Linked DNA regions of Rattus norvegicus. The protein of the gene in region 2 interacts with the protein of the main gene of each other region in a biochemical or structural test. Links are inferred from orthologs where the notes say so. Each region holds a gene or a part of one and is shown on either strand. Other genes may lie near its edges. The genes, in order: Sema4a and Plxnd1.

What was found.
Region 1: the proteins of Plxnd1 (region 2) and Sema4a form a complex in vitro, tested with the Homo sapiens proteins (2 studies listed by IntAct, with this or other methods). The link is inferred for Rattus norvegicus from reciprocal best matches to the Homo sapiens genes PLXND1 and SEMA4A.

The regions. Positions count from the first base shown.
Region 1 is NC_086020.1:176,209,353-176,213,949, forward strand, and holds the start of Sema4a (semaphorin-4A precursor), read right to left. Parts: upstream 2,907-4,597; 5' UTR 2,709-2,906; intron 2,603-2,708; exon of another isoform or gene 2,424-2,602; intron 2,208-2,423; exon of another isoform or gene 2,006-2,207; 5' UTR 1,983-2,005; coding exon 1,838-1,982; intron 142-1,837; coding exon 1-141. UniProt on the Homo sapiens protein: Cell surface receptor for PLXNB1, PLXNB2, PLXNB3 and PLXND1 that plays an important role in cell-cell signaling. Regulates glutamatergic and GABAergic synapse development.
Region 2 is NC_086022.1:150,712,288-150,716,858, forward strand, and holds the start of Plxnd1 (plexin-D1), read right to left. Parts: upstream 2,901-4,571; 5' UTR 2,868-2,900; coding exon 1,551-2,867; intron 1-1,550. UniProt on the Homo sapiens protein: Cell surface receptor for SEMA4A and for class 3 semaphorins, such as SEMA3A, SEMA3C and SEMA3E. Plays an important role in cell-cell signaling, and in regulating the migration of a wide spectrum of cell types.

The DNA.
Region 1 (4,597 bases), on a different chromosome or scaffold from region 2:
TTCCTGGATTCTCGATATTCAGGGCCAAGATGGCCTCCCGAGCCCCCACATACAGAGTGTTGCCATCTCCACTCAGGAGCAGGGTGTCAAAGTCCCGGAGGCCTTTTTGTTGAAAGAAGCTGAGGGCCCTGTGCCCATCTCCTGTTGGGAGGCAGTGATAAGGAGAGGATGAGGAGGAGCTGTGAGCAGTAGCTGATCTCTGAGGCAGAGGTGGGGGAGGGTGGCAGGCCTCAGCAGCTTCGTCCCACTCCCGAGATCACTCTTCACTGGCAGACTCCCCCCCCCAGTTTCCTGCACCCCCAATAGCAGGCATCTGAACTTTGTGTGCTGAGTCCCCAGAAAAGTGCCCAAGATAGGGTAGTGATAGCTTCAGGCTGTTGCAGGGATTAGGGGGAAAGCCTGCTCAAGACACAGACATGAAGTGAGGTAGAAAATACATTCTTAGAGCTTCCAGGGACTAAGCCACTACCCAAAGACTATACATGGACTGACCCTGGGTTCCAACTGCATAGATAGCAATGAATAGCCTTGTTGGGGCACAAAAAAAAAAAAAAAAAAAAGGAGATGATGCATTCTCAGGCCTGGAGGGTTCAGTGAGGCAGGATAGGAGAGGGAAGAGCTGACAGGTAGACACAGAAAGGAGTTCTCAACCACAAGCAGCAGAGGTAGCTGTCATTTGCCACAAGACTTATCATGGTTACAGATTCCTGCCACCCCCATTTCCTCTGTTTCCTCCCCTTGCTCTGTTATAAGAGTTGCCCGTCACTAGCAGGGCTGCGGCTGAAAACGCTGCTTCCTCTGTCTCTGAGGCCCATCAGCGTGGGCATGCCTGAGCCCCATCAGTGTGGGCATGCCTCGGTGCCACCTGGTGCCGAATATGTTGGTTAGTAGAGCATATTTGCTACCTAGCCTTGTGGAGTGTGTAGGCTCCTGCCACACGGGCCCATCAGCAGGGAGGAGTGAGCACTTCAGAAATTCTCTCGTGAGCACATTTGGCCTTTTACTTTAGTCAGAGGACAACCTGGTTGTTACTGTTTTGTCCTCAGGAAATTTGGGGGCCAAGAGGACTCTGAAAACAAAATGGGAAAAGGTGGTACATAGGTTGGCCTCCCCTCAACTCTGAAGAGGGCTCCTCCTTGTTTGTCCCCTTGAAATGCAGCCTTGTTTGTGTCTGCACTCCTGTCCCACCCAGAGATGCCCTCTCTTTCTGCTGGCCGGTCCACCTCCTTTACCATTTTGCCTCAGAAGGATGCTAAGCTATAGCTGTGAACCGAACTGCCTTACTTCTGTATTCGTGAGCGAGGGGTGTGTGTGTGTGTGTGTGTGCCAGTGTGTGTGTGTGCAAGCGTGTGGGTGACTTCCCCTGGGGCATTTCCTGGAACTAAAGGTGTCAGAAGCCCAACAGCCTTATCAAGAAACCATTTTGACTGGGTGAGCTGCTAGGATCCCTTCTCCTGGTGCCCATCCTACTGGACAGGATCTGGCCTGGTGTGACCTCTGCCATTGGCTCGGGCTTCCAGCTCCTCAGACAATCTAGCCTGAACTTTGGCTTTAGGGCCCCTGGTGCTGAGCAAGTAGTCAGGAATTTAAGGTTCCCTGCTTGGTTACTGTGACACTTGAGGGAGAAAAACTTGGCAGAGACGGGAGAGTGACAGTGACCCTTCCTTCCCTTCCACACCAACTTGTGCCTCGAGTAGCCTCCTCTTCTCCCAGGCCCTCCGAGGCTACCTGACATCTGTTTCTCCATCCTGTTTCATTCTCTCTGGCACACTCTTCTCCTTCCTCAGTCCCTTCATCTCTACCACGCATCCATGCCTCCCAGGTAGCAGACACTTACCCGCATGGTACTTGACTCTGGGCACGGGTCCCTGCCCACCAGTCCCGGAAGCTGGTGGCAGTGACAGCAGCAGGAACAGTTGGAAGAAAAAAACACTCAGGAGACTCCAGGGGTCTTGGCCCAGGGATGGTAGGGCCATGGTCATCCGGAGACAGTCACCAGATGGTTCTGAGGAAACAGGCACTTTCTGGGTTAGCCATGCTTACCACACCCTTCCTGAGGGCCAATAGGAAAGCCCTGGAGGGGCAGAAGTTCCTCTCTGGAAGGGCCCTCGGAGTCTCACTTCCATGCATTCCCAGATTCGATGTTGCCTGCTGATGCCCTCTGTGCAGGGTGCTGCTGTGGCCTACGCTGTGCCTCTGGTCTCCTACTATTAAAAAACTACCTTACCATTTCTCACCTGCCTCACAGGAAAATTCCTTCTCACTCTTGCCCCTTAGTATTTCCTGGCCCTAGACTCCAGAGCTCTGATCATCTCTGGCCCTGGGCAAAAGGTTTCTGGGGAACTAGGTCCTGTATGCAAAAGGTAGAGTCCCCAGGCTGGCCTGCCACTCGGCACTGTGACACCTCATACCTCGCTACTCACCTCAACCCAGGCAGACAGCCTACCCTCTCCCCCAGCCCCAGGGGCTCTGACTCTTGCTTAATTGAGCCCATCTAGCCTTCCTCTTAGGGGTAGGGGCATGTCAATTTATCTACCAGTCTGGCCAGTCCTCTGATTTCCTGGGAGGGGCGGGGCGGGAGTCACTGGTAGACTCTTAATTTCTCCAGCCCCCCTGTCTCTGTTGTCTGCCTCCTTGGAGCTCTGCATCAGCCTCCCTGTGGCCACTGAATGCAAGTCCCCCTCACTCCCCACCATTATCTCACATACCCTTGAGCCAGCCACACGGAGAAGTCCTGTGTTCAAACCCTGAATCAGGGTGCCATCCAAGGCAAGGAAGGGGGTCCGGGCATGGAAAGCAGGCTCAGCCTGGCTGGAATGGGAGCGCGGCCCTCCAGGCACTCATCCTGCCAGAGCCAGTGTGGGTTTCAGGCCAGGGAAACCAGAATTTCTACCTCGAGTTGTGACAGATCCTGGCTGGCTTGGGCGGAAGTTGGTGGATCAGGGCGGGGAGACTGGTGGAGGGGGGAAGTGGGGGTGAGGCTTGCAGACCTTGCAGGAGACACACCTCCCTCCCTCCTTAGTCTCTCCAGAAATTAAGAGTTCCTTTTAGGCCAGTTAGTTCAGTGATGCCTTGTTTCTCTAGTACATCACTTCCAGTCTAACCAGCCTAAGCTGCAGACTCCTCTTGCTCAAGAGAGCTCAGTATGACATTGTCATTTCTATTCTTTTCTTCCCCATAGTGGGGTTCCCCCACTGCCACATACTTCGACTTCTCCACCTCCCACACCCAGAGGGACCACATTCTTGAAAGGTTACACATTTAAAGCCAGGCATGGTGGCACATACCTTTAATCTCAGCACTCAGAAGGCAGAGGCAGGCAGATCTGTCTCTGAGTTCAAAGCCAGCCTGGTCTACAGAGTGAGCTACAGGACATCCAGGGCTACGGAGTGAAACCCTGTCTCAAAACAAATAAACAAGAAAAGAAAAACACCTTACGTTTGTATTCGGTTTTTTCCCCTATAGCTTTGCTTGAGGAAGCCCTAGTAATTTAATGTCTCAGTGGGAAATTCAAGAAATTTCCCATCTGAGCTCATGCTTCATGGGATACACTTTGGAGTTGAGACACCCAGCTGGAATGGTGGCTGGTTCCTCCTCCCCAAAGGTTCCAGGAAAACCTCATAACGCAGGGTTAATGAGTAACCAAGGGCTCAATAAAGAGTGGTTGGGCTGCTGCCCACTCACCCAGGTCAGCTGACTTCAGGTTAAAGAGCACGATGACCCAAGGCTGGTCTACCTCCAAGACATACCCTGTCTTCATCCTAAACACAATTCTCACTGCCCACTGTAGGCTATCCTCCACCCTTCGGTCACAGCTCCTAGACTGGAAGCATTCCTCAGTAGAGCCCGCTTGGCTTTCCCTTCATGCTTTTCCCTCTGTTCCCCTTCTCTGCTGTGCCGCAGGAGCTGGGCTCACACAGACTCTCCTGATGGCTACATCTGTCAAAGCTTAAAAGACACCCCCAAACTCTAATGCTCACTGTGAGAACTCTGCGAATCTCTCTATTCTGACACAATCTCCTGGGTCTCCTTGACCTCTAGCTCAGGCTTGGGAAGCCACTACCCCAGGGCCTCTCTTTGGAGACAGATTACCCTATCTGGGTCACAGGGAGGAGCTGTGACAGGGGAACCAGAGGAACAGCTCTAATGCCATCTCTCTACTCTGTTTCTGTCCTTGGACCTCCTCACAAGACCAAGTGGTCTCCCAGTCCCTCTGACAATGTGAAGAGCTCTCACTGGTCTTCAGGCTTCCCAACTTTAGCAGGCAGGCTCCACTCCAGTCTTCTTGCACAGAGAAGGGAAGTGCAGCCGGGGTGGCTGGACAGCCTGGTGCCCATCTACTTCAGACCTGTCTAATTCGGAAGCTCTCCCTACATGGCTGGCTCCTTCAGTCCCATCTCCTGCCCTACTGGATTAACTCAGCTCAGAACTGCTCCAGAGGGAGTAAGCAGGCATCAGGGTGGGAGGAGCAGGGGCTCTCTCTCCTCCAGTCAGGAACCAATCATTCTGCATGATTCCTGACTCAGAAAGAACAGAAATCTCCCCGAAGAGAGGCCATCTGATGTCCACTTCAGCCTAGGTGCTTCGGCCCCTGGGT
Region 2 (4,571 bases):
ACAGCCATGGCAAGGTTGTGGCTCCATAGAGAAGAAGGGTGGCTGCCCTCACCCTGCAGTCTGCACAGGGTCTGACCCCGCCGGGTGGTAGGGCTACAAGCTACACGCTTCAGATAGTCCGTCTGCCTCTCACCCGCTATGACCTTTCTTGTAAGGGGTCAATCGGCAGGGTGGTAGGCGGCTGAGGGAGTCTTTGCCAAGAGAAGGAATCTGGGCTTGCTCAAAGCCCCAGTGTTGGGCACGCCCACGGGATCGTCTTGCTGCCCCTGAGGACCACAGAGAAAGAGACAAGGCAGGGAGCCTCAGTGAGCACAGAAGGCTGGGCTTAGCCCTTTGTAAACTCAGTATCTTTGGGGGAATGGAAAGAGAGTTCTGCTGTGAAATGATTTGAGGGGACTGGCTGTACCCAAGGCCAATTCACTTGGTGATCCCCTAACCTGGCTCTCTTGCCCATCCTGAGACCCCACCTCACTCTCAGCCCTATAGTTCTCCGCCAAAGACCCCTGCCAAAGACTCCTTTCCATCTTCAGTGGCTCCATTTGTCCTGGGCTGCCTGGACGCCCCCCACTCCACATCTGTAAGGCAGCAAAGCCCCAGCACCATGGACACACGCTGGGACCGGACAGCTTGTGTTCAAGTCCCACCTCTGCTACTTTTCAACTGTTGGACTCTGAGCATCCCCTAAAACTTAACACCCATTTCTTCATCTGTATGTACAAAGGGACGAGGACAGGCATTTGTTGAAGACATCTGACACATGACACACTGGTCTATGGTTCTCAATCTTCCTAACGCTGTGACCCTCTAATGCAGTTGTGGTGATCTCCGACTATAAAATTATTTCGTTGCTACTACTTCATAACTGTAATTTTGCTACCGTTATGAATCACGATGATATGCAGGACAATGCAACCCCTGTGAAAGGGTTGCTTGACTCCACAGAGGTCACAACCCACATGTTGAGAATGGTTGGCTTAGGTCCACAACATTTGTATTCACAGGTCTGCCATGCCACCTGCTAGATGCTCAGCTGCTATGTGTTGAGTGGCCTCGAGCACACACCTGTTTGCCAACCAGGTGGCCTCTCCAGGGAACCAATCACACTTCCCAAATACCAGAGTCCCCTGGCACAGACTCCCACCAGGAGTCTACATCCCTGCATGTCTACACTCTTGGGGTCTCCGATGAGTGTCCCTGTCACATACTCAGCCCTTCCATCCCACCCTCTCTTTATCTTCAGGACCAGGTGCCACACCCATCACACATCTGCCAGGGTGCAGAGGTATGTCCTAAGGGTACCCGCAGTCTCCCTAAACACACTCTTGGTGTCACTCCCTCTCTCGGTTCAGCACGCACCTGTGCCCCCGCCCCCTGCAGAGCTGATTTGTAGGTGCGCTGTCTTGGGGGAACACCTGGGTATCTTGACAACCTAGACCTCCCCACTTAGGTGTGTGCACCTGTGACCCAGTACGCTCCCGGGCCAGCATCAATCCTCTGGGACATCTGCGTGCATACTGTATCCCAACTCACTCTTCGGGTCCATGGCTTACCTGTATGTTGCGTTTGCTCTCGCAGGCCGGTCCGGTGCCCTGAACCACGCTGTCCAGCACCGCCACCACGTCCGGCGCCGGCTCCACAAAGCAGGCGGTGCGCGCTGCACGAATGGCGGCCTGCACGTCGGCGAAGCGGAAGGCGCAGAGCGCGGCCGGGGCGTTGCGGGCACCTGGGGTGCCCTGGGGCCGCTCGAAGACAGCGAAGAACTGCTCGCGCGCGGGGAAGACCGACACGAGGCGGCTGTAGAGGTCACCCCGGCCCGCGCCGCCCGCGCACTGCAAGCCCAGTTGGATGTAGGACTCGGTGAGCTTCTTGGCGTCGCCACCCGCGCCGCGGGGCAGGCAGATGCGCGCCAGCAGGCTGCGCGCCTGGCTGTCTTTATCGCCCGCACGCGCCTCGCTGTTGAGCGCCAGGTACGCGTAGGGATGCGCGCTGTGCGGTGGCACCGCCGGGTGCAAGAAGGCACGCACGAAGCCCAGCTTGTGCTGCTCCTTGGCTCCCTGTTTGATCTTCAGTATGTTGTCGTCCGACGGGTTGAGGTCGAAGGTGAAGAGCTTAGCCAAGTCTCCACGCGCGTCCAGGGAGCGGATAGAGATCTCGGGCGTGTTCTCGAAGCGGTGGTCTTCTAGGCTACGGTTGCGCGGGAAGAAAGCGCTTCCGTAGCCGGTGTACGTGGCGCCCACGAGCAGACGGCTGCCCCCGGTGCCGGAGGCCGGCGGCAGCACTAGTCCCACGGTGGACGCGTTGGGGTGGTTGGCGGCCACGTTGAGCATGCTGGGGAACACGGTGACCGGTTCTGCGGTCGGCGCGGCAGGCGGAAAGCTCACAGCCAGGGCTGAGATGTTGCCCCGGCGCCTCAGTTGGCACAGACCCTGGTAGATGGAGCCGCACGCGACCACCAGACCCTGGCCCGGGTCCAACTGCAAGATTTTGTTGTAGTTGTCCGTGAGGCGCCGCGGGTGCTCGCACGAGGCCTGCGGGAGCTGCGGGGCGTGACACAGCGGGCTGTCCGGCACCGGACCCACGGTCGCCTCGGCCTCCAGGCTCAAGTTGGCACCGGACAGCTGGTACAGGCGGTTCACCGCCGCCAGGTATACGGTGCCCGCCGTGCCGTCCAGGGCGAAGTTGTTGGTGGGCGTGGGCGAGGGGAAGCGGCGCTGTATCTCTAGGGCGCCCGCCCGTGCCGCCCCAAGCAGCAGCAGCAGAGGCAGCGGCAGCAGACCGGGGCACCGCGAGTGAGAGCGCGGAGGCAAGGGGACCGCCGCAGCGGCCCGGGCGCTAGGGGGTGCGCCGCCCGCGGCGCGAGGAGCCATCCAGGCGAGCGCGGGCTGCGCGGCGCGGCGAGTGCATGGGGCGCGGCGCGGCCGGGAGCCGGGAGCTCGGAGGCGGCGAGAGGCGGGGGGCGGGCCCGGGCCGCGAGGCGCTTCCTGCCCGCGCCTGCCGCCCCCGGCCCCGGCGCCCCGGCCCGACTCTGGCGCGGCGCTCAGCCCGGGGGCGGCTCCGTGGAGGCCACGCCCACAGTCCATCCCTGTCCCAGCCGCTTGGTCCACGCCCTTTAGCCCTGGGCCACGCCCCCGGGCCACGCCCCGGGCCACGCCCCGCGGTCCGGGGTCGCTGCTGGCCGTTACTCCGGCAGTCCCAAGTTGCCTGCCACTTCCCTGGTTCCTGGCCACCACATGGAATGTCTTCCTCACGCTTGTTTGTTATCCTTCCTCTTTCTCCTCGTTCTAGTCCTTTTCCTCTTCTGTTTCTGGGCTCCGGTTTGCCTTCCACCGCAGCTCAGAGTTTCGCTCTCTCAATCTCTCCGACTCCTCTACTCTGATCCAGTCAACTCCGCCCCGTGCCTCTCCCGCGTCACACCCTCTCCCTCATCTGTGTTTCTCTCTCTTTTTTTCCTTTCTGTTCCCGCAGCTCTCCCTCTCTATCTTTTCCTCTCCTTGCCCCTAAAGACCTCCATTTCCCCTCAGCCCACCTACCCCTTCTGGCCACAGCACCCACCCCCCACCCCCGCCCTCCTCCCCCTCTGCTCCTCCTCCCCTCCACATGTTCTCCAAGCCTCCTTTTAAAGGCCAGCCAGACCTGGGACATCAGGCCCCTGGGACCCCATGGTCTGTTCCCAAAACTGCCCTGTAAAGGGAGTTCACAAGCAGCAGGCATCCAGGACAAGCTAAGACAAGTAGAAAATTGTTGAGAGAAAGTATATCCCTCTTGGAAGGGCGGGCTGGGCTGAGCAAGGACACCACAGGGCCTTGGTTTCTGGAAAGAGGCAAACCCTGTGGCCCTCCAGGACCTTGCCCCTTAGTCCAAGGTTCTGAGAAAACCTAAAGTCCTTCCACATATGAGCTGGCAGTGGGCACCAGACTCCTTTGATGTCAACTTCAAAGGAACTGGTAGGCACTGGGATAAAGGCAAGTAGTCCTCTTCCTAAGGTCACAGACACCCATGCATGCGGTCATCTCCACAACATGGGGGTGCCCACATGGGATCACACCAAAAGCCAGCTTCCTTAGAAATATTCAACCCATTTTACATACATGGAAACTGAGGCCCTAGAAGTAAAGCTAATGGGGAAGGTGAGACACAGATCCAGTGTTTGAAGCCACAGTCCCAGTTCTCAGTCAGGGGCCCCTACCAGCTACAGCTGTCAACTTGAGGCCTGATAGCCCTTTCTCAGAGGGTGACCTTGCTCCTCACCAATGGGGTGAGGAGGGGCTTTCCCTGCGTCTGAAGGGTCAGCAGCAAGGGCTCAGAATACAGCCATCCCCAGTTCCCTGGCCCCCACCCCAGCCTTCCTGTCTCTCCTCACCTGCCTGCCTGCCTGCCCGCCTGTCTGCCTGCCATGTTCCAGCCCATTCATGGCCTTGACTTTGATGGTCAGGAGTGAGGAAATTGGAGACTTATGTCCGCCTCCACCCCCAGCTGAGCACCCAGGGGACCTGCCTCCACCGCTGTTTGGGGAAAGCCCACATCACGCTATGGACATGTCCGCTCCACTGGACAGCCCCAGCACAGTTCAT